Linked DNA regions of Coturnix japonica. The protein of the gene in region 5 interacts with the protein of the main gene of each other region in a pairwise test. Links are inferred from orthologs where the notes say so. Each region holds a gene or a part of one and is shown on either strand. Other genes may lie near its edges. The genes, in order: MIPOL1, BEN domain-containing protein 5-like, DHX15, SSX2IP, ZGPAT, CDR2 and zinc finger and BTB domain-containing protein 8A.

Region 1 (3,500 bases), on a different chromosome or scaffold from region 5:
AATCTAACAGGCTAGGGAAGAAACGGTAGTAATCTGTGGCAAATATGACCACCAGAAATAACAGCCTCTAATGGTCAAGCATCTGCAATCAGAACTGTGAATCCCCTCCTGAACTATAAACTCCAGTCTAGAAAAATCTTAAAATAAAAATCTTCTGAAAATAAGCCATTTATTGCATGTGGTAAACATTTTTTTCCACCATGTCCCTATTCTGCATTTATTATTCACTTTTTTATTCTCACACAAACCATCTCACAAATTTGCACTTCTCCTCTTTATGTTTTTCTCTGAACAAAGTAAAAATCACAAAATGAAAAGCTTTAGGTTACTTCCTTCTGAAGACCACTATAGTAAAATTTTAAGATGGCCCTTGTCTTCAGCTTTTCTGTTCTTGCCAAAGGGCTCATTTAGGTAAAATCTATCAAAGAGAGAGTTCCATTTAAAAATAGAATTGTAATATTCCTCAAAGTAGATAACATTTTATGGTGAACCTTTCTGATGTTTTTTACAGTATAATTTGTGGAGTCATTTTCTTATCATAAAGTCAGTACAAAGCAATAATAAAAATGCAAACACCCATATTTACAAGCGTCGCTCTACCATGTGTTATATGCTGTGGTAATTAAACATTAACTAGTAACATGAAATCTCAGCAGCACGTGTTCTCCTTTCCACAAAGGAGACTTAAAGCAAGGGAAAAAAACTTTTTCCTGAAACACACTGAGTCTTTATTAGATTCTACTTGTCCATTAGAATTCTCCCCAAGGTTTTTACGACAGTCACGTATAGACCTCCACAACGACACATACAGACCTCCATAAATTCATCTTAGTTCACATCATTCCAGATCTCAAAATGTTTATTCAAACTTAGGAAGAGTCTTAGAACAGTAAAATTAGAAGCAAAAATGGTAGACTTTAACAAGGCTTTTTTTTTTTTTTCTTTTTCCAAACAGCTTAAGTACTAAGGCTCTTATCCTCTCTCACAGCATTTAAATAATTTTATACTTCCTGAACCACTATAAGGAGCAAAAAGGTTATCTTTTTAAAAGACGATCTTTATTACTCAATGCAGCTCTCGCTAAAATTTGGCATGTCTTCTTTTTTTAATTGTAATAACTATGATAATCATTCTATCAATAAACCTGCCATGCTGTTTTAGGGCGAACATCATGCTTAGGACATAATTAGAAAGTTTAAACAGTAATGCAAGAGAAGACAATTTACTAACAAATATTTCAATTGTTTCCATAACAGGGAGACTAAATAGCATTTTGACAGTCATATATTCATTTCCAGGTTTTAACGAGGCTTTAACACCTATATCAAATAGAGTATTTATGTGTTACAGGTGCACAGAGGTAAAACACTGTGCAAACATCCAAGAACAAACACAAAACTTGGAATTCAACCCAAACAATTTGCATTAGCATTTGGCTGATGGATGCAACTATGGTATGCAGTGCAGCCTTCTTTTGTCTTCTAAAAATACAGAAAACAAGATTATTTAGGGTGTTAGAAGAGCAAAATTCTGCCTGTATTTCACTTAAACTTGACTTCTAATATCTACTTTCTCCTTTCTCATTCTCTACCACAGAAAATTTAGCAATTTTCTTCTACTTGTAATATGCACAGCCAAACTTACTCTCAGGAGTCTCATGTTAAGACAGCCATCTGTTTTTTCAGTTTATTTTCATTGCTGTTTTCCTAGTTACTCCTTATTCCAGTACTGATATTTTGGGGACAGGTATTATTACTATCAATATTATTTGAATATTTGTCCTCCACAAGGACACAACTTTACCTAGCCTACACTGTATTTGTAAACAAATAGCATGATTAATTCAGAAAAGTACTCTTATTTATTCATTTGAAACACATGGAGAATATTTCATCCACTGAGTACAAGATACACATTGGCACTTTTAAATAATAATAAAAATGCTCACCTTCATTACTTTAGAAATTTCTGAAACCACAGAATGCAAACTGTTTCCAGGCTTGTGTGTATACGAAAGGATGAATAACAAATATCAGCATGCATCCACTCTTAACTATAAACTTCAAAACCTTTCCTTTTGGCTATTTGTGTAAGTCTCTTTCACTGAAGACATAACATAATCAGACTAAAATTAATTAACTGCCAGAAGAACACATATTTTCAGGAAAAGTGCAGGTCTCTAGCTGAGGTGAATGTGCGACTACCTTCAAACACTGAGAGAGGGGTAGTATTGCTCTGAATGTGCTAAAACAATAAGTGGTATTTGAACTGCTGGTTGAAAGGTAGAGGCACTGGTAATCATTATTTCCCCTTGTTTGTTCAGGACCTTCGAACAAAACAAACAACCTTTTTGTGATTGGATTGACATGGTGTTAACAATGCATTTAATGCCCAAATCAGTATGAATACAGGTAAAGCTCCTGCTAATACCAGTACCAGGATGTTAAAGCCACCTATTTTCTAAGCAACTCTAAACAGCCACACGCACACAAAAAAAAAAAAAAAAAGTCAAATCTTCCCTCCTTTAGCAAATAAAGCTAACACTCACTAGGCCACGTCATATAGCAACCGCTGGTACTGTATGAGCCATATAGCCATCTGTTAAACGCTTGCCTACTATACCTGCAATCTTTTCTGCAATCTTAGCTTCTGTAGCTCTCTCTTGCAGTTCTAAGTCCAGTTTTATTGTCTTCAGCTCTTTGTCCTTTTCCAACACCTCATCTTGAAGCTGAAATGAACAAGTGTAACAAAATATTAAATTACAGTTTTCTTATCCCCAAAATACAAATATTGGTAATACCACAGAAATTCAATTTATTATATTTATTAATTTAAAGGACAATTTTATTTATTTAAGATCAATTATCTTATCTTGCTCTTTGAGAAAAGCAGCAACGTGCATGCCATTGTTTTTTTTGGGAATCCCCTCTTCCGATAACTCTGTCTGTGGTCCTTCTAGCTAACAAAGTTCAGTTACATGGAATATGATGTAGGTGGTGTCTGTATGAGTAGACTATTTCCCATCAAGAGCACTGACATAATTTATGTCTGAAGGGCTGTAAATGCATAATTTTCAATGTGCATCACCTGATAGAAAAACGATATTTTAATCTTTTAATTAGGAATTCACTGGCTCTGTTTATGGAGAAATGTCTGAGCTTACCATTGAATGGTCAAGAACATTTCATGTAATTACAGGACGGTTGAGGCTGGCTGGCCCTCTGGGTTCAACTGCTCCATCCCCTGCTCAAGCAGGGAAACCCTGAGCAAGTCGCCCAACACCACATTCAGGTAGCATTTGGAGATCTACAAGAAAGACATTTCACAGCCTCTAGGCAGCCAGTGCCAGCACTCAGCCATCCACACAGTAAAGAAGTGCTTCCTGATAGACAGAACCTCCTGTGTTCCAGTTTGTTCTCACTGCCTCTTGTCTCAGCACTGGGGAGCATTTAGTGAAAAGGTTATACATGTTTCTGTTGTTTATGCAGATAGGACTGTGC
Region 2 (4,131 bases), on a different chromosome or scaffold from region 5:
GGAAGGAAGGAAGGAAGGAAAGGAAGGCAAGGAATGAAGGAAGGAAGGAAGGAAGGAAGGAAGGAAGGAAGGAAGGAAGGAAGGAAGGAAGGAAGGAAGGAAGGAAGGAAGGAAGGAAGGAAGGAATTAAAATATTGAAAGATTTTATAAAGAAACAATAACTACAATGAGCAGTGTATGAACAATTAACTTTTAATTTCCTGTGAGAAACAAATAAGGAAATACTAATAAAACTGAAATACAAACTCTTACATGACCAAAAGGTATGTTTTCCGTAAAGTATAATTGATATACAGAACCTCTTGACACAGCGTACTTTCAAAACTAAACTTAGGTTGAAAACACCTCAGGTGCATGTAAGCAAACAAGAATATAATGAACTCCATAACACAGAGTGATCTGTGTTGCCGTAAAGCATAGGTAAGTTACCTTCAGAGTTCCTGTAGTGCTGTTTTCTCGTTTGAAAATAAGAAATAACAATACTTCAAGAAGAAAAGATAGGAGAGCTATTATTTGTGTCTTCTGACTCAGGAACAGAAACATTTGCCAAAAAAAAAATAAAATGTAACAGCAAGTGCAACAGAGCCACAGTGGCTAAATCAACTCAAGTAGTTTGAACAAGGTTGTTCTTTCATAGCTTTGTTCTCCCTGCAAACAATAGAATCAAAGAATCATAGAATCATAGAATCATAGAATCACCAAGGTTGGAAAAGACTTCAAAGATCATCCAGTCCAACCACACAGAAAAAAATTAAACGTGTGTGAAATGCAGGACTCAGAGCTGGACTCACATCTCCTCAAGAATGGCCCAAATCTGACAGAGCGTGATGACATAGGAAGTAGGATGTGACATGAACAAGAATATTCCCTACCTACAATATATGACATCAGTGTTGAAAACCTAAACTAAGTGCAGTGGGAGACAGACGCTTCTTCCAGAGCCTACTTTCTATGCCCTCTCTAAATAAATGGGCCAAGACCACTACTTTCTTTCATTCAGTTTCCTCAAGTCCCATTAAATTGTCAGGACTTTTTTCCTATTTTTGTAGCTTTTTGCATTGAAGTTACTCAGCCAGTAATCCAGACAGGGAGGGGGCTGCAAATTAGAGCTTCAAAACAGTCAGAGAGGCACTGAAAAACTGAGATGAACATGTATCAAGAACATGCAACAAAACTTGATTTCACCACAAGCTCATGGAACGGGTGCATGTACAAGAAAATGATGGATTACCCAGTTGGAATGGGCATGACAGAGTTAAAAACAGAAACCAAATATTGTAAAGATACAGATTTAAAGAATATAGCAGGAAACTCAATGTAAAAGTAACTTTATGCAATAATCCAGAAATAGTGAGCAAGTTCTACCATGTTATATAGAACATTCCTGGCAAGCACATAGGCATAGGTGGATGAAGTTTGCTGAAGAGCTGACAAAGTCAAACGGCCACTGGAGATGTGTTCCATTACACGGCGCAGTCAAAGCAGATCAGCTGTGTTTAGTACAGTGTTGTACAGCAGATGAAACAAATCACCTGCTCCATGGAAAGCTTAATGTATAAGAAACTTCTCAATGCTGTTTCAGGGCTTCGTAAAGAGTAGGCTTGAAACAGACTGGGAGTTCAAGAACCTTAGGCCAACCTATTCAGACACAGCCTTTGTAGTATTGTTTTTCAGAGGACAAGAGTATTTCACATATTTTTCACTTTATTTCACCTCGAGTGGTCCAAAAATCCAATGTCAGTTCTATGGATAGTGCATCTTCCATACACATGGAGCCACTTCTGGGGGATAAAAGCACATGCACAGCAGCACAGCAGGCAATGAAAATGAGCTTTTGGTCCAGGAATCTAGGAAATTCACGTGTATGATGCTGTGGGGGTATTAAACACTCAGAAAAGCCGTCATCACCTTTGTTTCATCCTCACAATGTTGATAGATTTTCCTAAGTTAGTTTGGGAGCTTTTGTGAGGTGGTAAAGGCCTTCATTGTGTTCTGTTACAATAGGAGAGACCCCTCTACCTAGACAATCCATACCGCACCTGAAGAAGCCCAGAACTTGAGTTCCATCCACAAACTTATCTTCACACACACAGCCAGAGCTATTGCCAGCAGGGGCATAATGAGACAATCCCACTTCACCCCTCGGCTCACATGCCATAAGTGCAGCGCTCCTTACAGACCCAAAGACAGGGCAGGCAGCACCTGCAGGTCAGCCCGGAGCCAGCAGCACGGCGGAGCGGCTTCAGTTCCAACATTCAGCCTTCGCGTATTATTTATTTTACACTCTAGGTAAGGCAGGGGAAGGTTTCTCGTGTGAGGGCACAGTCTTTGCTCTGCTCCTCACCACACCGCTCCGTCCCCTCTCGCGGCGCTGGCTGCCCCTCAAAGCCCCGCAGCCAGAGCTGTTCCCGCCGGGTCCTGAGCCAACCCGCGGCCCTTTTTCCCTGCCCCACGGCCACGTCGCCCCTGGAATGGGATTCTCCCCTCCTCTCAGCTCCCCGTGCTGTGGGCTCTCTCCCTGCTCCGGGCCCCCTCTGCACCTCAGAGCTTCCCTCCCTTTCCCCGGCGAGATGAGCTGCGTTACCCGCACTCCAGCTTTAAGGCTGCTGGAAGTAAGGCTTCCTCCCTGCTTGAAGCCCCTCTCCTTCATCCCCTGGAGACGGGGATCTCTTCCCCCCTCCCCCCGCCCAGGCGCCTGCGGCTGCACTGACCCGTCTCTGCCGTCCTGCTCCTCTCCGCCATATTTGTTGTCATCCCCTCAGCCCCCCCCCCCCCACCACGGAGCGAGACGCTGCCTGAGCTTCGCCATGGCAACGCACGTCACCGCCGGGGGAGCCCCGCGCTCCCCCTCAGCCCGAGCGCAGCCGCCGTGGAGAGACGGGAACGGAAGGGAGGGGAGAAGAGGTGGAGGGATGCTGCGCTGTCACTGCCCCCCGCACTCGAAAAGCCAGCCCTGGAGCGGCAATGGCTGAGCTGCCATCGCTGGGTTGCAGGTGCGCTACCGTCCCGCCCTACCGCAAAGCCCACACATTACGGAGCTGTTATTAGGGAGCCGCTTTTTCCCCCTCATTTTTTAGGGCAGCCCAGTGGGGGGCTTCATTATGAGTGTGTGTGTTGCCCGTCTGTCTCTCGCCCTAGCAGGTGAGTGCGACCATATGGCAAATACACTCAGGCTTCTTGGGGACGGGAGGGCTCCTACGTGCGCTGCAGGCCCGCTGGGTGACACCCACCATGTGGCAAATACAGCAGTGAGTTCTGCGGTGCAGAGAAGTTAATTATGTGTGTGTTTCCCCCAAGACACGGGGTGCTGGGTCTGACTGTGTCTCACTAACACGAGCTTGAGACAAAACCTTCATCACATGTCCTACAATTCTGTGATTCTGTGTGATGTCCTCTGCGAGGTTAAGCACGGGACAGGCGGTGTCACAAGTGCAAGCACAGATCCTTGAGTCACTTGTATTTACATACACAGACAGACACGAGGGGTGAGCACACACCAAACTGAGCGGCCAACTGAAATGGGAAGTGTGTGTGCAATGCTGAGCAGTGGAAATGGGCAAGACTGTTTATGACTACATAAACATTTATGTGTTTGCTTGCTTACAGCTAATAAATTAATGTTGCCACAGAGACCAGTGACCTGTTAGTGAAATGCTCCAAGCCTGAAAATCAAGGCAAGTGAAACTGCATCTTTCTCCACCTAAAGTGGTGTTATTTCAATATTACTTTACTCTCTGTCTTCCTATCTGCTATGTGCATTTTCTCCTCCAGTGCAACACCTCATAACAAGACTCACATGGTTCTACACAGCTGGATTTTTCTGTAGGGTCTGTTACCTCCTCTTCATTGTGTTTTTCCCTGGCTTCTGCAGCCTTGTTGATTCTTTCTTCAGTTCATACTGCTCTGGTTATTTTTCTCTTCATTCTCGACATATTTCTATACCACATCCACGGTCACAAGTTTTCAAACTCGGCCACATTCCTGTGCCAGTGACTGAAATATCTGTCTAAAATAGTGCACCAAGGGGGCTTTGTGATGGGGTTAGAAGTCCTGTTGGAACATGGATATTGTTCCTTGCTTTGTGCCAGCAGTCAAAAGCCATCGAGGGACATCTAGATTCAAGCTCTGGAA
Region 3 (3,500 bases), on a different chromosome or scaffold from region 5:
AACCTGTAGGTATAGACAATAAAAAAGTTACCCCAAAGGCTGACAATGACCTGAGAAATGTTACACAAACAAAATACAGCAGCAGGAAACTAAACTCAATGTTAGCCATGATTTAAGCATGTTTCTATCACTATAGTACAGCACCTTCATTTCCATGTCCAAAAAACCATCCTAATTAAATATGGAAAGGTACAGATAACTGACTTTCTAGTATTTTCTTTAATACAAACTGCACTTAGGCCTTCCCTAGCATTACCTTTCTAATACAGTTCACCATTAACAGATCAAAAAGCCTCTCGATCTTTGTCAGTTGATTATTTTTCTTTATAATTACCTAGTGGTAAACGCATACACACTCTTCTTCAGCATGGCTGAACACAAAGATGTTGCTAGGCTTCATCATTACTGACCTTCAAATCAGCTCTCTGTCTTACAACTTCTTTCAAAACTCCCATCAAAATATCCGTAGCCAGTGTTCTCTCATGGGCCTCGTCAAGAATTATAACACCATAGCGCTCCAGCAAAGGATCATTCATTGCTTCACGAAGTAACATACCATCAGTCATATACCTGAATACAAAGACAATTCTATTTATTATATCTGATAAAGAATCCCCTTTCTTATTATTTATGAGGTTGCTTGAAGAAAGCCTTTATAAACCTTGTTTTTAGAATAGAAGAACTATTTCCAGCAAAGCAACAAATCCGTTTTCATTTTCACACAGAAGTTACCATAGGGTATATAAATGAAATCCGGCAGTAGAGATTAAGCTTAAAAAGTGAGAGGGTCAACAAGTTTTGGCAACATTAATGAGTAGTTTTAAGACTATTACTGGCAAACTTCCAGATCTACATTTAAAGACAGGGAAAAAAAAGGAAAAAAGATACAACTCAAATCCTAGAAACACTACTCCTGCAATAGTTTCGTTTTTAACTGAGCACTGTGAATGTGATCTGCAAACCACATACTAAGTGAGCTTGGTTTCACCTACAAAGCAGTGGAATCTGGAATAGCTAATAAATGAAACACTAGCATACATAAACTTCAGTTATGTGCCATAGATTTAGGCACAGATCAGTTCTGAAGCTTACTAGTACCTCTGCTTACTAGTGAAGTAAACTCCTAAACTTCACCAGAATTATCTTGGGTACTAAGTTACCACTGATAGAAGTCAACTCAACACATCATTTTTCTTTAAGAACAACTCATTTTCAAGTCTACGCCACACCCACGTTCTATATTTCTTTCACCTGACACTACAGCTTCCATCTCTTTTCCACTCACTCTTACTTCCTCATTACTCTTTCCAAAACCTTGCTAACATCCTCCACAGGGATCTTTATTGGACAGTCACCGTACTTACTTGAGAATGGTTTTTGCACTACTGCAGTCTTCAAATCGAATTGAGTAACCAACCTCCTGGCCCAGCATTACATCCATCTCATCAGCAACCCTCTGTGCCACACTCATTGCAGCCACTCTCCTCGGCTGGGTACATGCTACTCCCCTCTTTGGTCCAGGTAATGAGCGCATGTAGTCAACACACCATTGAGGGATCTGCCAAGAAATAGAAATAAAACAAAATTAGTTTCAACCACAGCTTCAATATCCAGATGCAATAAATATAACACAGTGGTTATATCAAATAAATATATTCATAATTTCACTGAGGTGACAACTGTATGTACAGAAATATCCAGAGTAGAAAAGCAGAGTATTTAGACTCAACACAATTAAGTAAACCATGCTCACCTTAAGCAAGTATGTAACTATCTCTGAAGTTATCAAGGAAATAAGAGGCTCACAGAACCTCTGAGCACTGTTAGTTCAGTAGCTTAAAATTATACTTTGCATTTAAAAAAAAAATATATATCTATATAATATATAATATATATATATATATATATATATATATATATTGTTCATTAATGTAGATTAATGAAAAAAAAAAAGATATTTTAATTATATACAACTTGCCTACCCAGGAATCATGACAAATAAACAAGATATGCTAATTTGGTTAACTTCTGTTCTTTGGAATTGTTATAAACTAGATATGAAATCCTAGTGTTTCAGTTTCTGTAACAACACGCTTTTTTGCTTATTTGTCAGGCACTGGTTTTCCAAGAAAGTCAGAATAATAAACAGCTTTACTTTGAAGACTTTGCAAGGTCAGTAACAGCCTGAAGAAAATGTAATATTATTAACATGTTCCATGTGATGTTTCATGAGGAGACAACTTCCAGGCAGAGCCAGTCCTAAGTTTACAGATGATATAAAATCTATTCCTCCTTACTAATTGGTTTTAACTATTATAAAAGGCTCACAATTACAGAAAAAGAAAGTGTTACCATTCATGAACCAATACAGAATAGCAGGAAGAACTGTGTAGTTTTAAGTAACCTAGGCAGATTTTCCTTCTCAAATGCTGTATCTCTACAGCAAAATGGAAACAACTGAACATATGCACAACAGACAATTGTAGACTAATGAAAAGCTGTTTTATTTTTTTCTTAAAAAGGAGAACATACCCCCCACTGTAAGTACAGAAATAAAATTTAAAAAAAGCAAAGATTAACAACTGAACAAAAGAACTCAGAAAATCCTATTCAAAACTAAAAATACCAACAGCTCATAAATACTGAAGACATGAGTCTGGAATCCTACCCAGTAGCACATACACACTTTCCAGGAGTGGAGTGTAGAAAAATGAAGCTGCTTCTCAAGTGACTAATAAAAACTCAACTCTGAATGAGGAGAAGCTTCTTAACTTTAAACAAAGCCAATCCTGACATCAGCTTTAAAGCAGGTTTCTCAGGACACAGTAAAGGGAAATAAAAATAATTTAGAGGCCATTTTCAAAGAAACAACAAAACCTACAATGCTGTCACCAAATGAAAGACAAAGCCTATGTAGACTTCAACACATGAATCTGATTTAGAAGACCATCAGAACAGTTTTCATGTCTCACTTTAAAAGAGACAAAGGACCATGATGTATGTTTGTTACTTGAGTGATGATCACTTTCAGGAACGTGAAACAACTTCCATCATCTAGATCTTACAGACCAAAGTTAACTCCACTGATGCAAATATAAAAATCCTAAATTTCCTTAATAAAAAGGAACCTCAATTAAATCTCAACCTCAATGACTTCAATAGAGAGATTTTCAAAGATAACTACCAACCAAAAAAAAAGGGGGCAGAGAAACACAGAGACCTGTGAGATCAAAGATGAAAGCAGTGAGGATTGTTGAAGTCCATTTTCAAGCCAAAAGAAAGGCACATTTTTTAAAGGAATGTAAGACAGGAGAGGAAGGAGCACTGTTCTGCCTGTTCTGAGATACTTCAATCCAATGAACTTTCTGTGTAAAGTTAGGGTAGAATTCACAACTGTCATTGGTTAATAGTTGAGTCCAACTTTTACTCATGTCATCTCTCTTGTAGGCTACAAGGACAGCAGGAGATAAAGCCATGCTCAGTATAATCACAGAATTGTA
Region 4 (4,242 bases), on a different chromosome or scaffold from region 5:
AAGGAAGGGAACGCAAGTCTCACCTGTTCCTAAAGCTGATAACACTTACAGGGCAGAGCCAGATTTAGCATTCCAGCTCTCAGAAACAATGCAATTCACAAGGTTCAGTAGCAGGTAACCTGTAAGATAAAAAAGGCACCAGGTAAAACGAGTGGAAGGTCATCAATGTAACTACTTTCTCTAATGAATGCCAGGAGATTGAAGAACTGGATTTCCAAAAAACTTTCCTCGATGTTTCCTAACAAAAGCTCTTAATCTACCATGCCAAAGGATTTACTAATGAGTGATTATTGGTGGAGAAGGAGAAATAGTAGGAAAAGTTAAGTATTTTCCCCTTTCTCCTTCTTTAAGTATCGTATAAGTGTTGCATGCCCCATAAATGCCCCAAAGAGATAAAAATTAATCACAAATGGGATCTGTTTGTGGCATTTCTGTTGTTGGGAGAACTTTCAAAGGTGCTGGGTAGGTCAGTGAGAAAATTCACTCATGGTACAGAGTTATTTAGAAAAATAAACACTAAGATTGAATGATAAGAACCCCAAAAGGTTGTATTCATAGTTCACAAATGGTAACAAAAATCCAGGTTTGTGAACTGTTATTATTAGGAAGCAAAAAAGCACAACAACAACTCAGCTGTGTACTTAATCCAACAGGCTCTATGTTAAGCACAATCATGCAAAAAGAGATCACAGAGTCACTGTGATTACTCCTCTGGGCAGTTAACAAAACATTGGAGCCCTGGACACAAAAAAAAATGAACATCATAATGGCTCCATACAAACACTGAGATTCCTCAGTTGAAAGAGCACACATCATTATGACCTTCCCTATACAAAATGCAGAAAACATCTGAGAACGGTGGAAGGTCAGCCCATGCTTCCATACAAGAAATTAACAAGCTGCAAGTTTTCCGCTAGAGCAGCTAGAGAAATAGGACAAAACATGTACAGAAACACGTATAGAAAAATATCACCCCTTCTTTTAACACAGTTGTGCAAAATGAAATGAGACATTTAGCATGAAGGCTGGGGAAAAAAAGCACTGTTAAATAATAGACTCGCATCACCATGTGCAGGGAATACAAACTATATGAGCTGGCTGTAATCATATGACACACATCAAAAGCCACCGAATGCAAGAAGCAAGCTCAGCTCAGAAGCCCTTCAGCTCCGCGGTGCAGGGCGCTGGGAGGACACTCTGACAGAGGGATCGCTGCTCAGCAGCGTTTTTCCCTTAGCATCTGCTGCCAGCCGCTTTCAGAGACAAACCGAACCCAAGGAACCTGGGATTGCCTCCTGTGCCCTCTCCAGCCCAGCCAATGACTGATACTGCGCTTTCTCTCTCCCAGACCAGAAAGAACGTTTTTCTCCCCCGCTCCTTTCCGAAACCTTCATCAATGGCATCAAATCCCGTTTCAGTTTTAGCACCGACATTTACCCCGCACATTCGCGTTTCATTCCGCACACCTCCCGATCGGAGCCATTCCCCTGAAATACCCGAATTCCTGTCATACATCGCAGCACACGGAGCCCTGTGTAACCACCTCACGGGCAGCACGGCGCTCTGCGCAAACAGGGGCTGCAGCAACACCACGAGCACATCCTGCGTTACAATTCAATCCACACAAACAGGATTTGGGGTTCTGATTTAAGCAGCACTCAATCATGCCAAAGCCGCACATCCCCCACTCCCACCCCGCTCGGAACGCGACCAGCCGCGGGCAGGGTTGTACAGGGCTGTTCCCGGGTGTTGGCAGGACCAACGCCGCCCGACAGCTCCTGGGCTCCCACCTCGCCGCCCCGCGGACACCGCCAGGCGCTGGGCCTGCGTCCAGGGACGAGCTTTCCTCAGCCCTACGGCTCAGCCCGGGCCTGCCCAGCAGCACCAACCACACCGCGGCTTCCCCCGCAGGCAGCCCGCAGCCAGGTCGAGCTGTGACCGCCCTCCCACCACCAACGGCCACGCAGCGTCCGTTACCCGCTGTTACACCCGCCTCCCACACCGCCGGTAAGGAGAAGGAGGAGGAGCCCCGTGTAGCACCACCTGCTGCGGCGAGCACACACGGAAGAAGGGAGGAAGGACCGGCCCCGGCCCAGCTCCGCGCGGCCCCGTGTCCCGCAGCTGCCGCCGCCGCCTCGACCCCGCGCCGGGCCCCAGCGCCGCTGCCATTGGCCGGAAGGTTGCTAGGAAACCTCCCCCACGGGCCCGCACCGCCCCTGCGGGCCGCGCCGCACCTGCTGGGGCAGGACACCTGTTGGCGGAGCGGGGCTGCGGGGTGACAGAGCGCCCCGGGGCGGGGCCGGGCACGGAACGGCGTCTGCTTCCATACAACAGTGTATTCAGCATTTAGTTGTGCCCCGCTGGGACCCGCTCGTCTGAAAAACGCGTTTCAAACCTGGCTTACCGAGTCCCGTCCCTAAAACGTATCCCTCGGTGCCACTTAAACACCTGCAGGGATGGGCACCCTCGAAGTCCAAACCTCCCTTGGTGCGACTCCATCCCGTACTGGGTAACATCAGAGTTTGCATATTCACTGTGCTACTGCAAAAGAAAAATGTTGGTTAACCACAAACCCAGTCGTGTATTCCAACCCGCTGTATTACCATCACTATCTTGTAAGCATGATAAATTTATAAGATTAACAAAGAAATCCTACAGGTCTTTACCTCCATGTGTTTTTATTTGACCAGCTCGAGAATGAAAAATAAGGTCTAAACCAGACTTTCAAAGTTCTCATCAAAACTTAACTCCCATGAATGGAATTTACTCTTATTACTGGGACTGGAATTGAGGCCATTTCTCTTTTGTGTTGGCAGACCATGATTAGCTCACCCTGCAGATAGAAATAACTATTACAAGGTGACTAACTACTACACTATTAATAACTATTACACTATTAATAACTATTACACTATTAATAACTATTACACTGATCAGTTCTTGCTGTGTAGGCAGCACACTGCCAGTGTCTGCAGAAATACCAGTTGTTGGTTTGGCAGTAACAGTAATAAATGTTTTAATAATTTGTTCTTTTTAGAGTTAGGAAATCAATCCTTGCAATGCAATATATGTATATTTGTTTTGTTTTATGACTCGGGTTAATTGTAGGAACTTTGGACTTCTACACTGCAGCACTGCTGCAGGTGCACTCTTAGAAGAAAGCAGTCTTACACAGAATGTAATATGTTAATCGTAATAGCAAGTGAGACAACAGACATTGTTCATGGGAAGGATTAAGTTCCTGCAGCTTTAGAAGATAATGGATGGGATGTGTGCTCCTGAATTCCCTGCGTCTATTTGATCTTAGCAGCTGTTTCTGAAGTTGGTGCTATTCACATGAGAAATCCCCAAGTGCTTTCCTGTGTGTCGTGGGTTGGGTTTTGTTTATGTTTTAAAGGGCTGGCCAGAAACAGAGAAGTCTTTATGGGATGCTTTCAGGCAACAGAATCAGAGCAAACTTTACCTTATAAAAAATAGCCTAACACTGCTCTTTATTCATAATGCACTAATTCAGTGTAATATAAGACTACCTAAACCACAGTGACAAACACTTTCAAGTGGTTTACACCAAGGCGTAGGTAGGTAGGATTTAGTGAGGAAAAAAGAGTGGACCCATTGGAGATTTTGGTTCTTAAGAGACGCAGTAGGGACATCAACTATTGCTTGTGCTCTCTTGAGCAAACTTACCATAAATATCCTGTAGTTGATGTTTGGTCTTTCACAGTAACCAAAATTTTAAGACTGAAATTCCTTGAACAGTTTTCTGTTTATTTTTCATGCTGATAGCTTCCTTGCCTAGGTTGAATTAGTGGAATGATCTGGATGAATGATCACTTTGCCTTGCAATTTTGCAGCTTAAAAAACAAACAAACAAACAAACCAATTTTGGTACTTCATAGCTGTTCCTCTCTCTGATATAGATTATTATTCTTAAAATTCATTTGTCATATTTCTTTTATAAACATAATTTATAGCATAAATGAATAGAGAAATTTAGAAAATTTATTTATCCTTTATTCTTTGTTATTCTTTGCTAAAGAATAATAATGATTAAAAAAAATGGGATTAAGAAAGACACTGAAGTACTGGGAAGGTTGGGGATTAAAGGGACGCTTTGTGAAATTGAATACAAAATGCACCTCTATAAAAATAAATTTAAGCAGGATTAAACTGTAACTTGTACGAGAAAGTAAAGAGGCAGCTACAATTCAGAAAGAGATGGACTGATCCACATTGTGTCTG
Region 5 (4,124 bases):
CTGTGGCACATAATGTGCTTAATTAGTGCCTCCAGTGCATGTCAGTAGCATGAGGATTCTCTAGGCTACTATGCTAATGATGTGTTATTAGCACTCAATAATCTCCATTAGGCTGAATTTACTGAGCAATAGGACACAGCTTTGTCCCTGTGACAAAACAGGGGCACAGACAGAGTGCTATCTGTGTATGCTCAGAGAACCTGGTTCTGTTGGTGTCACCTCTTCATAGTAAAAAGCCAGGCACAGCTGTTACTCATCAAGACACTGGGAGGTTTGAATACCTGTGCCTGGGATCTCTTACTCCTGTTGTGTTATACAGCTCTGTGTAGGCTCCGGAGAGATTAGAAGTCTCCTGTTTTACTTGCTCAGCTCACACACCCACTTGAAAAACAGACTAAGAACTGGAACTCCATTATAAAACATTGCGCCCTCTACCTGCTGCTACAGAAACATTTGAGCTTCACCAGACTCATACTGGTGACAGAAGGCAGACACAGATCACAAGGCACTTCTCTCACACCCCCACCACCCTCTCACCTTTAGCATAACCAGAATCATCAACACTGTCTTCATCAGATTCAGCAGATGAGGCACCATCTTCGCTTCGTAGTGGGGGAATTATACTATCTCCTTCTACAACAGCTTCCTTTAGCAGCAGGGAATCAAACTTCACCGTGTAGTAACCACTGTCAATATCTACAGAAGGAAAAGCAAGAAACAAGAGTTCAAGTAAACTCTCAATACAAACACTGCAGAGAGCTTCCTCAAAGTTGGCTTCAGGGAATGATGCGGGAGAGGAGGAAGGCCTGAAGAACACGTGTTAAAACAGCTGAAGGCTTAAGAGATTTACTTATAAAAATAGAGGAATATGGGCTGTCAACAAATGGAACTAAAAAGAAGTTTGACTTACTCCCTCTGACCCAACAAGTGCCAAAGAAAAAAACTTCTCAGAACAGAGGGGAGCCTCTATCAACAGCTCCCAGATTACTGCAGTTCTACTCTAATATGCAATTGTATATGCATGTATATTTCCTATCCTATTCCCTTCCCAAGCCTGACACAACTCAGAACACGTTCTCAACTACCTCCAGATTTTTAGTTCAAGGCCACAGCTACATCCTCAAGTGTTTGCTATCATTAACCAAAACGGTCATACTTTGTAATTCCTTCAGCATGGGTGCTCAATCTCTACACAGCTCTGGCACAACACCCACAAACACCACTCACCAGTTATTTTGGCAGCATACCATATCCCATCACTGTGTTTGGCCAGGCAGGCTGAGCCCACCTCCAGGGTACTCAGATTGGGCTCCTGAAAAGGCTGAAGCTCCTCCACAGAGACCACCTGGCCATGTGAAAACCTGCCAGGGAAGACAGAAAAGGAGTCAGATCTACCTCACTAGAAAGGGCTTGAAATATAAACCCCTTCCTTCCTGACAGGAAACTCAAACAAATTGTCAGCAGTGATGAATCTGCATCAGAAGGTTTATCATGCATCATTTCAATTAAAGAAGTCATTCGTTTTTCACCATATTCATATAATTTATGCTGTGTAATAGAAGAAATAATCCCACTCCCAAGAATGAAGCTTTCCCTGATAGGGAGATCTCTGAAAAATCACAGATCTTTTGAGATAATGAGGACTGCACACAGACACAGAGATCTCAGCCTCCTGCTCAAAGCAAAGCCAACTTCAAAGCCTGATCAGGCTGCTTAAGGCCTCATCTGGGTTAGATTTGAAGCTCTCCAAAGATGGAGACCCCGCAGCTGGAACAAAGGTACCATCAACAGACAGCCCTGGGTGTTTTTGTTTTAACTCATAAGCCTGTGACTAAAGTAGCTATTGGAATGATCAGGTAAAATCTCTGCAACTTGCCCACAGGGATTTCCACTTCATATCTGCATTACCTGAACTGTCCAGCTCTTTGATACCACCTGTTACCATACATAATGGATTTTAATAACACTGCAAAATCCCATTGGTTACAACAGCCAGCGTGGAACACTCAGATGTTCCAGCCTTTGAATCACACGGCCTTTATCAGCAGCGAGGATACGAGCCCCCTCCCCCTCCATATTTTTCTTTACCGACAGTTCTCTTTAAATCTGCATTTGTCATCCAAGAAGAACGGGCACGGCTTCAAGGACTTGTGAGTGGGGTAGAGATACAGCACTCTGACACCTGCACTGCCATCTTCCAAGTACTCCGTCCCCACAATCATGGCATTATGATACTCCAGCGTCCCCCACGAGCTGTAATACGGCGCTTTAACCTTCATCCCACTCAATTCCTCCTCCTCCTCCTCTCTATCAGACTCTTCCTCGCTGCATTTCAATTCACTCTCCTTGCTTTCTTCGTCTCCCGTCGCAGATCTCTCGCTGTTATCAGCTGAGGGCTCACCATCAGTCCCCAGCTCAGCAATGGCTTCCTTGAAGGCAGCATATTCCTCATCCTGGGCACAGCTATCGGGATTTTCACGCTGATTTACACAGGAGGCGCTTGTATCCAACGCAGCCAACAACTTGCTCTTCTTCACAGCCACCAGGCTGGACTCGGTCAGTTCTATCAGCTGCTTTAAATCTTCTTGTAACTGAATCAGATCCGATCGCTGCGAGGGGTCCTGGCCCGCCCCCAGAGCCAGCTCAACCTGCTGCAGCTGGGCGTTGTAGGCCTGGATGGCGGCTTCCAGGCTCTCCTCATCCATTGCGAATAGAAGCCAGGCCCCGGTTTAGGCCTCAATCCGAACCTCCCCGCTCAGCTCCCGCACCCCCACAGCACGGCCGCCATTACGCCCCCCCCACTTCCGCCCTTCTGAGCAGCCACTTCCGGCTTTTCCAGCTGTCGCGCAACGCCACTTCAGCGACCAATCTCTCCGTAGTGCGCTTGCGCAGTCGGGCCCGCCCCACGCATCCGGCGCCGCTGAGCATTCTGGGAGTTGTAGTTTAAAATAACCCCACCTCCCCGCCATAGAGGCGGTGTGAGAACTACACTTCCCAGAGTGCCTCGCGAGGGACGGCGCCGGCGGCTGGTGTGGTGGGGGAGCGAGGCGGCGCTGGGTGACGGGAGGAGCTCCCGGTACCGGGTGAGGGGCTGCGGTGTGCGCTGTGCGGCCGGGCCGGGGCCTGCGGGGTACGGAGGGACTGTGGAGGGATCTGAGAGCTCAGCCGGGCTCTGAGGGGTGGGGACGGCGGGGAGGGCTGCGGGCTGTGGGGCAGGGGGGGTCTAAGGGGCGTTGTGTTGTGACCAACTGCTTGTATAGCGGGTGCTGCAGCAGCACTGCTGTTGGAGAGAGGAGGGTTTGGGATAGGTGAGGGTTCCTACACACACCGCCTGGGTACGTGGTTTGAAGTTAAAAGAGGGAAGATTTAGGTTGGATGTTAGGGGGAAGTTCTTCACTAGGAGAGTGGTCAGGCCCTGGAACAGGCCGCCCAGGGAGGTTGTGGATGCCCCGTCCTTGGAGGTGTTCAAGGCCAGGTTGGACGGGGCCATGGGCAACCTGATCTATGGGGTCTCTATGGGGTCTCTATGGGGATCTATGGGGTCTCTATGGGGATCTATGGGGTCTCTCTGGTCTCTATGGGGATCTATGGGGTCTCCTGGGCAACCTGATCTAGTAAAGGTGTATGTTTGGTGGCCCTGCCAGGCAGGGGGGTTGGAACTACATGATCCTTGAGGTCCCTTCCAACCCGGCTCATTCTGTGATCCTGTGATCTGGCTGTGAGCTCGGTTCAGCTGTTGAAGATCCCATAATACTGTCATAAACAAAGTGAGGGGGCACCAACCTGCACATTCCTGCTCAGAACACTCCTCTATATCTGCACACCACTGGCTTCTTTTCTACGAGTCTTATATGTTCTCTAAGTTACTTTCAAGCAGACTTTAGCTTGCTCTTAAGTCCAAGAGAGAACAAACTTTGAGTTGAGAAGTGAGTTCATAATGGATGCTGTGCATTGTGTGCTGAAACACAGGTTAAGCTACTTGGAAGATCATGTTTTGAACATTGGATCTTGAGCTGTTTGCACTCTTCCTTTTGTGTCTGTGATTTGTCCTAGGGTTGGCTTAAGAGTTACTGATAAACGAGTAATGTCACTTATTAATCTGATGTTGGGAGAAGTTTAGATCA
Region 6 (4,124 bases), on a different chromosome or scaffold from region 5:
TCCAGGGTACAGTGACTGTAGTTGTTTCATATTAAGAAATAAGTCATCTGAACACCCAGCTCCTTTCTGAAGGGAAGCAGCATGAGTATTGCTAGATGTTTCATATTATTATGTTTAAAGATGCATGCAATTTAAAAACTAACATAACGTGATGAAATCAATCCTGTGTTATTGCTAAAATAGTAACTACACTGTGCAGGTATTACATGTTCCAAATTCAACAGATTTCTAACGTTACTTTTCACCTCCTTCCCATTACCTGGGTCTGACCAGGTTTCTCCTGCATGCAGGCAGCCTTGTTAGTTCTCATATGGGTAGGGATAGCATCACTAATGGGAAAGAAGCAGAAGGAGGTTCAAGAAAAACCCAGATTCTCTTTAAGATGCCTGAAATGAATACATGAGACATACTGCATCACCCGCTGTTCTAGTTAGACAAGAAAACATTCTCAGTTTTCATGTGATTAAGATGCCCTTGTTTTAAGGTGTTTCTCATCTCCTTCCTGCCCTTCCCCAGTTCCCTTATCAGCTGGTTGCTGTAGCAGACAGAGGGCTGTTCCCAGACTGCTTTGTGCTAACCTTCACTTTGGCAGCATGTCTGAAGTGAGCACTTGGTCCAGATACATAAACCAAAGACTGAATTCAGACCAAACAGAAAAATGTTCCCATTCACTTGTCTGTGTAAGCTGTAGATGTCCTGCTCAGGACAAACAACAGCTGTGGTATCCATTACATGTACTTTAAGGTAGGAAACAACGGGCTGTAGCTGTCAGATGCTTTGAATAATGTTTCTGGAATTTATTTACAACAAATCACCCTGCATACAAGTTCTTGTTAGAGCTGGGAGCCGCGTGGCTCGCTGCTTTACACTTCGCAGTTTATCCTCACATAGCTTTTTTGTTGTAACACCCCTTGTTAAGAAACACAGCCTATTTCAGGGCTTTTTCTCAAACTGCTACCCCTAGAAAAGGAAAGAATTGAACCAATCTGACCTGTTCTGAAGTTAACAATTTATTGTGCACCCGTGTCTCTACATTGCAGATACCTACAGTCAAATGTAGAGTGCATTCTCCTGATACAGGAGAACACGTTTGTCTGAGAGTCACTCTGTGATACTAGAAGCACGCAGCACTTTTATGTGAACATCCTACAACAATTCTGCTTTTTTCCTGTTACCTGTTGGCAGCGTTTCTGTAGCTGAGCAAAAGACAGAACGTGGTACTAAACTCTTATTTTATGCTTTCATAGCCCATCTAACAAAGCAATTCAGATGATTTTTGTTCTAAAAGTAAGTCTATTCAGTAGTAGAATGCCTTTGTAGTACAGGATGTCTAAGTTGAAGTCTAACTGTAAAATTAAACTAAGTGGAAGTTTGTCCAGCTGCTGCCCTCCCTGAGCTCCTGGGCAGGCTGTGAAGGGCTGCAGGTTTGTGTTCAGTGATGTGTCCTCACAAACGCACTCCTTGATTTCTACACGTGCTCTGGTTGGTGGGTTGTGATAAGTTTCACTAGTGCCCAGCCTTGCTGCTCCATTTATGTGCACTTGTGTTGCTTGGTTTTAGAATGATGACTATTTTCCAGACTGTACAAGTCCACTATAGCAGGACGTTTCACAGATGTTCCCTTAAGGAACCTATCTGCATTTCAGCCTGCCCATCGGTTCACTTTCTCCTTTCCCTCTGGCAGGCTGTCAGTGCCTTCCACTTGGGCTCGTGAGAAGCTGATCCTTCGGAAGAGACGTTCCAGGTGCAGGGAGAGCAGTCAGCGACCCCTGGAGCGGAGCAGTGCCCAGCCCCGGCCGGGAACCAAGGGCGAGTATTCGCTCACGGTGGCAAAGAGCGAAGTTGAAGCAGCACGGCAGGAGAGCAGCACGGCTCCACCATGCACATCTTCTACCCCACAAATAACGACGCGGAAAAATACCAAACCCTGACTTCAGATTTTCAGCTCATCCCTTTGACAGCAAACAATGGCTTCAGCACCTCATTTCAATGGATCTCTTTATAACCTGTGGCCGCGGCAGCATCCCGCACACACACACACAGCACGCGGAGCAGCGCTGCCGCCTCGGGACGGTTCCCAGCGCTGCCCTGTGCCTCGTACGGCGGGTTCCGACTCAGCTCCCGCACGGAGCAGCCGCCCGTCCCGCCCGGTCCGAGCTCCGGAGCTCCCGGCTCGTTCTTTCCATCGCCGCGTCCGCCGATGTCTGTACCGCAGATCCATCGCCGTGTGCCCGCGGCTCAGCCGGTACCGTTTCTCCCTCCCGCGTGGTCCCGCCGCCCCATCCCGGCCGTGCTCCATCGGGCGCAGCCCCCGGAGCCGCCCCGCTGCCGGCAGGGCCGGGCACGGCAGCAGCCGCCCGTTCCGTCAGACAAAGCCGCACCGTGCCGGTACCGGCGGTCCCAGCTCCCGCCCCGTGCTCTCCCCGCCGCCGCCCCGCGCTCCTCCATCCGCCCCGTCCCCTCCGCCCGACCCCCCGCCCCGCCGTGCCGTGCCGTGCCGTGCCGCCCACCTTGCTGCAGGTCCTGCTGGTCGTACCACGGCTCATCCTCGCGGATCTCGAACTCCTCCACCAGGCTGTCGGCCAGCATCGCGCTCTCCCCTCTCGGTCCGGTGGCCGCGCTCACCTCGCGCCGGGCGGCGGCGGGGCCGGGCGAGCCGGCAGCTCGTCGCCTTACCAGCCGGCTCCGGGCATTGCCGAGCGGTTCCGGACTTTGCCGAACCTCTCCCCCTTCTGGTCGGGCCGCGCGGAGCCGCCGGCGACAACGTGGCACGGAGCGACCGCCCGCCCACCGCCGGGCCGCGATTCAAACACTACGCCCCGCCTCCTCTGCCGACAGCCAATGGGGAGCCGCCCGCAGGGCAGATCGAAAGGAGCGCCGGCCAACCAGGAGGCGAGTCCGTGGCGGGCGGCCAATGAGAGAGGAGGAGGGGTCGGTCCCGCCTGGCCGGCCCCGCCCCAGCGTCCCGCTGCGCGGCCTCCGGGCGGAGGAGGTCGGTGGTGCCCGCGGGAGGGGCGGCGGGAGCGGGGCCGGTGACGGGGCCGGGGCTGGCGGTGGTGTCGGTGCCGCGGGTTGTCTCGGTGCGGCTGAGGCGGCACGGGGCGCTGGGAGCGGGGCAGGGCGTGGCAGCTGCCCGGCCGTGCTGCTGCGTGTCCCCGCGGGGCGTCTCCTCACGCGGAGCCCCTCATCGCCTCGTGAGGCCCCTCAGCCCCTCAGCTGCTGCCGCTCCCTGTGAGGGCTCTGACAGGACGGCTCCGTCCCTTGGCTCCCTGTGCCGCTCTGTGCGCCCCGCAGTGCCGGGCAGCCCAACCTTCTCCTCCCGGCTCTCCCTGAGCGGTGCCGGTTCTTTGCTGTGCCCGGCGCTGCAGCAGGAGCAGCCGTTGCGCTGTGCCTCAGCCCGCAGCGCTTTGTGCTGTGCGGGGCGGCTCACGCGTGTTAATTGCTGTACAATTAAAGAGCACGTCTGTGGGGCAGGGAGGTGTGTGGGACCTCAGCTCCTCCAGGAGCCGGTTCATAAACGAGCCGTGCCAATAACGCAGGGAGCCGAGTCAGACCCTGCGCGCAGCTGTGAGTCATGGCGCTGGAGGCGCATTGTTCGGAGCCTTTTGTGAAACAAACGATACTTGGGAGTTTTCTGGAGCGACGGGAGCGATTTGTCTCTTATTCGTGCGTAGGAAGGAACTGAGTCAATACGGCTCGAGAATGTTAATGCCCAGCGTGTATCCGAGGGAGATGCCCGCGGTTCTGCACTGGAACCTGCCCAGGGTCGCAGCCCCGAGGTCTCACATACGTTCGGTGTATTTGTGAAGATGTGGATACACCTTCTAACAAGAACACGATGTTTTCAGTAGCGAATCACCCTTCACGTTTTCTTTATATCCCTCTTTTGAAGCATGAACGTTTCACGCGGCCATCGTTTCAATGCTGTTGTTCTTTGTAGGTTTCTCGGTTCAGTTTATGAAGCCGAACTCGTTGGGGAGGTGCAAAGTGTAATCACCTGGAAATGGGAAATTCCGTAACAGATGAATTTGATGACATGCATGACGGCCCCGCTCAATTATCTGCAAATTGAGTCATGTTCTTACCGATAAATGACCTTTGGATGTTGTTAGAGAATTAAATGT
Region 7 (2,199 bases), on a different chromosome or scaffold from region 5:
AATGACTACAAGCATTTAGGGATGGCGCTGAGAATAATAAAGGTGTATAAAAGCAATAAAACCCTGCTCCACCAGGGCAAATCAGTAATTCTTTTGCCTGTACTTAATGTCTTCCTATGGGCAGATTGTTCCATTTGCCCCTTGTAGCCACTTCACATCTTTTTTTTTCCCTAAAGAATCCAGTCCCACTATTCTTAGATGTACAATATCTAATTAAATTGGGTATTGATCCAGAAATCCCTTTGCTTCTAGAAACTCCCTGGAGTACACAGGAATTAATAGTGTCATCTTTGCTGTTTGCAGTTAAGGTTTCAGGCCTGCATTGACACAGTTTTCCCCTTCCAGCCCAAACACAACACATCTCAGACTGAGTTCCCCATTTTCAGAGGGAATAAGTTTGACAAGAAAATGCTTTTCCAGTTACATGCTAAACATTTTTATATGCTTTTTCTTAATTCTTTGCCTAGCTTTTCTAATCATGACATAATATGAAGACTTAATGAAATTTCATGGAAAATTATCTTTATTTCTGAATGCTGAAGAGTAATTTACACCGATGTGCAACTTTTGTAAGCATTTAGACCTCACCTCTTTGAAAGAGGTTTTGAGAAGAGACTCACTGTACCGTAAAACCTCGTCCTTGTACTTCAGCCTCCGGGATCAGCCGTTACTCCATTGAGGGCACATTATTTCTAATGAAGCAAAGTATGGGGATTTCGATAGCAAAACTCAGGATGGACTCAATGATATGTCCATGAACACATGCAAGTCTGGCCCTGTCCAAGAGAAGCCAGCAGGTCTCTGTAGATGTCAGGCTGGTGGAGGGCTCACGGGCAGACAGGATTTCCACGTAAAAGGAATTCCATGCACTCGTGTTTGTCTCACAACTACCTGATATTTGGTTTTACTTCCTTCTCCTCTGCTTCATCCTCACTGTCATCAACCTGCTGGATGACCAAGTCAGACGACCCGTCCTCCACGATCTCCACATCGGATTTGTTGTCTTCCCCGTAGTGCCACCTGGAATCCTTATCCCCGTCTGCTGGAAATTCAAGGGGCGCTTCAGCCTCCAAGTCAATGCGGATGCTGTCGATGCCGGCTTCAGCCAGGCACTCGTTGCAGAGCCTGTAGCGCCTGGTCCCCTCCTGCACCACCTGTCCCGTCAGCTCCGTCACGTGGCGTTTACACTTCCTGCAGATCAGCTTACAGGCCTGATGAATCTGGGAAAATTGAGAGGAATCCATTTATACAGCATCAGAGAGGAAGCGTTTAATGACAAAAAGTAAAGCTAGAGTGCCATCAAATGTCAGCATTAACTCATTGTGAGCAGCGGTCAGACATCAATCACGAGACATCCACAGGAGCTCCAGTTGTGCACTTCATCCCATTACAGACCTCACGCAGTGCAGTGCCTTTGTGAGCCAACAAAGGAACTCATCCTCTTTCATTGGAATTATGCTTCAAATGGACTTAAGCAAAACCAAGTTAATTATCTACTCCCTATTCTTTACGGGAGTCAATGTATCAACCAGACAGGCTGGCACTGTGTTTAATCACACTGAGATGGACTCACACATCAAGTGAAACTCACGGTTACCAACAATACGTACAGTGCGGAAGTGGCTGCTGAGGTGATCCAGCCTGCTGAACCGCTTCCCACACGCCTCACACGGGTACGGCCGCTCTCCTGTATGGCACCGCAGGTGACGCTTCAGGTCTGCTTTCCTTTTCACCATGTGAGTGCAGAACGGGCACTTGAACCTCATCCTGGGCAGATCGTCTGCTGGGAAACAGTTGGAGTTTTAAAAGAAGTCGTAACATACCCGTCGTTTAGTTACTCCAGTTACTGAAAGCAACAGAAACAGAACAGAAAATGGCTTCTATTTTAAAGACATTGTAGGTCTTTTCAGATACAGCTCTTGTGTAAATTACAACATCGAGGGAAAAGGAGCGGGGCTATCAGCAACATTACAGTGAGAATAACAAACCAAAACGATCGTGACTGTGTAGCTCTAAGACATGAAGAATATGTACTTTGCAAAGCTCAACTTCACTCATTCATCACTCTCCAAGTGTTGATCTCAGCTTTCCAAGCCTACATCCCTGAAAACACAAAGCCTTTCTGGTAAATGCTCCTTCAGCACTGTGTGTTTCTCACTGACACAGCACGGAGACCCCCTCCTACCTTCAGCCCAGCCT

Evidence for each region.
Region 1: the proteins of ZGPAT (region 5) and MIPOL1 interact in binary tests that used the Homo sapiens proteins (3 or more experiments, as listed by UniProt). The two-hybrid records come from large-scale screens. The link is inferred for Coturnix japonica from reciprocal best matches to the Homo sapiens genes ZGPAT and MIPOL1.
Region 2: the proteins of ZGPAT (region 5) and BEN domain-containing protein 5-like interact in binary tests that used the Homo sapiens proteins (3 or more experiments, as listed by UniProt). The two-hybrid records come from large-scale screens. The link is inferred for Coturnix japonica from reciprocal best matches to the Homo sapiens genes ZGPAT and BEND5.
Region 3: the proteins of ZGPAT (region 5) and DHX15 interact in binary tests that used the Homo sapiens proteins (3 or more experiments, as listed by UniProt). The two-hybrid records come from large-scale screens. The link is inferred for Coturnix japonica from reciprocal best matches to the Homo sapiens genes ZGPAT and DHX15.
Region 4: the proteins of ZGPAT (region 5) and SSX2IP interact in binary tests that used the Homo sapiens proteins (3 or more experiments, as listed by UniProt). The two-hybrid records come from large-scale screens. The link is inferred for Coturnix japonica from reciprocal best matches to the Homo sapiens genes ZGPAT and SSX2IP.
Region 6: the proteins of ZGPAT (region 5) and CDR2 interact in binary tests that used the Homo sapiens proteins (3 or more experiments, as listed by UniProt). The two-hybrid records come from large-scale screens. The link is inferred for Coturnix japonica from reciprocal best matches to the Homo sapiens genes ZGPAT and CDR2.
Region 7: the proteins of ZGPAT (region 5) and zinc finger and BTB domain-containing protein 8A interact in binary tests that used the Homo sapiens proteins (3 or more experiments, as listed by UniProt). The two-hybrid records come from large-scale screens. The link is inferred for Coturnix japonica from reciprocal best matches to the Homo sapiens genes ZGPAT and ZBTB8A.

Annotation. Positions count from the first base shown.
Region 1 is NC_029520.1:33,564,278-33,567,777, reverse strand, and holds part of MIPOL1 (mirror-image polydactyly gene 1 protein), read right to left. Parts: intron 2,729-3,500; coding exon 2,623-2,728; intron 1-2,622.
Region 2 is NC_029523.1:20,985,405-20,989,535, forward strand, and holds the start of BEN domain-containing protein 5-like, read right to left. Parts: upstream 2,801-4,131; 5' UTR 2,755-2,800; coding exon 2,712-2,754; intron 1-2,711. UniProt on the Homo sapiens protein: Acts as a transcriptional repressor.
Region 3 is NC_029519.1:66,716,344-66,719,843, reverse strand, and holds part of DHX15 (pre-mRNA-splicing factor ATP-dependent RNA helicase DHX15), read right to left. Parts: intron 1,559-3,500; coding exon 1,365-1,558; intron 571-1,364; coding exon 411-570; intron 4-410; coding exon 1-3.
Region 4 is NC_029523.1:14,404,853-14,409,094, reverse strand, and holds the start of SSX2IP (afadin- and alpha-actinin-binding protein), read right to left. Parts: upstream 2,801-4,242; 5' UTR 1,978-2,800; intron 1,961-1,977; exon of another isoform or gene 1,791-1,960; intron 120-1,790; 5' UTR 24-119; intron 1-23. UniProt on the Homo sapiens protein: Belongs to an adhesion system, which plays a role in the organization of homotypic, interneuronal and heterotypic cell-cell adherens junctions (AJs).
Region 5 is NC_029535.1:9,383,898-9,388,021, reverse strand, and holds the start of ZGPAT (zinc finger CCCH-type with G patch domain-containing protein), read right to left. Parts: upstream 2,801-4,124; 5' UTR 2,706-2,800; coding exon 2,089-2,705; intron 1,362-2,088; coding exon 1,228-1,361; intron 697-1,227; coding exon 538-696; intron 1-537. UniProt on the Homo sapiens protein: Transcription repressor that specifically binds the 5'-GGAG[GA]A[GA]A-3' consensus sequence. Represses transcription by recruiting the chromatin multiprotein complex NuRD to target promoters.
Region 6 is NC_029529.1:8,363,024-8,367,147, forward strand, and holds the start of CDR2 (cerebellar degeneration-related protein 2), read right to left. Parts: upstream 2,801-4,124; 5' UTR 2,590-2,800; coding exon 2,511-2,589; intron 1-2,510.
Region 7 is NC_029538.1:4,576,839-4,579,037, reverse strand, and holds the end of zinc finger and BTB domain-containing protein 8A, read right to left. Parts: coding exon 2,186-2,199; intron 1,784-2,185; coding exon 1,611-1,783; intron 1,221-1,610; coding exon 888-1,220; 3' UTR 501-887; downstream 1-500. UniProt on the Homo sapiens protein: May be involved in transcriptional regulation.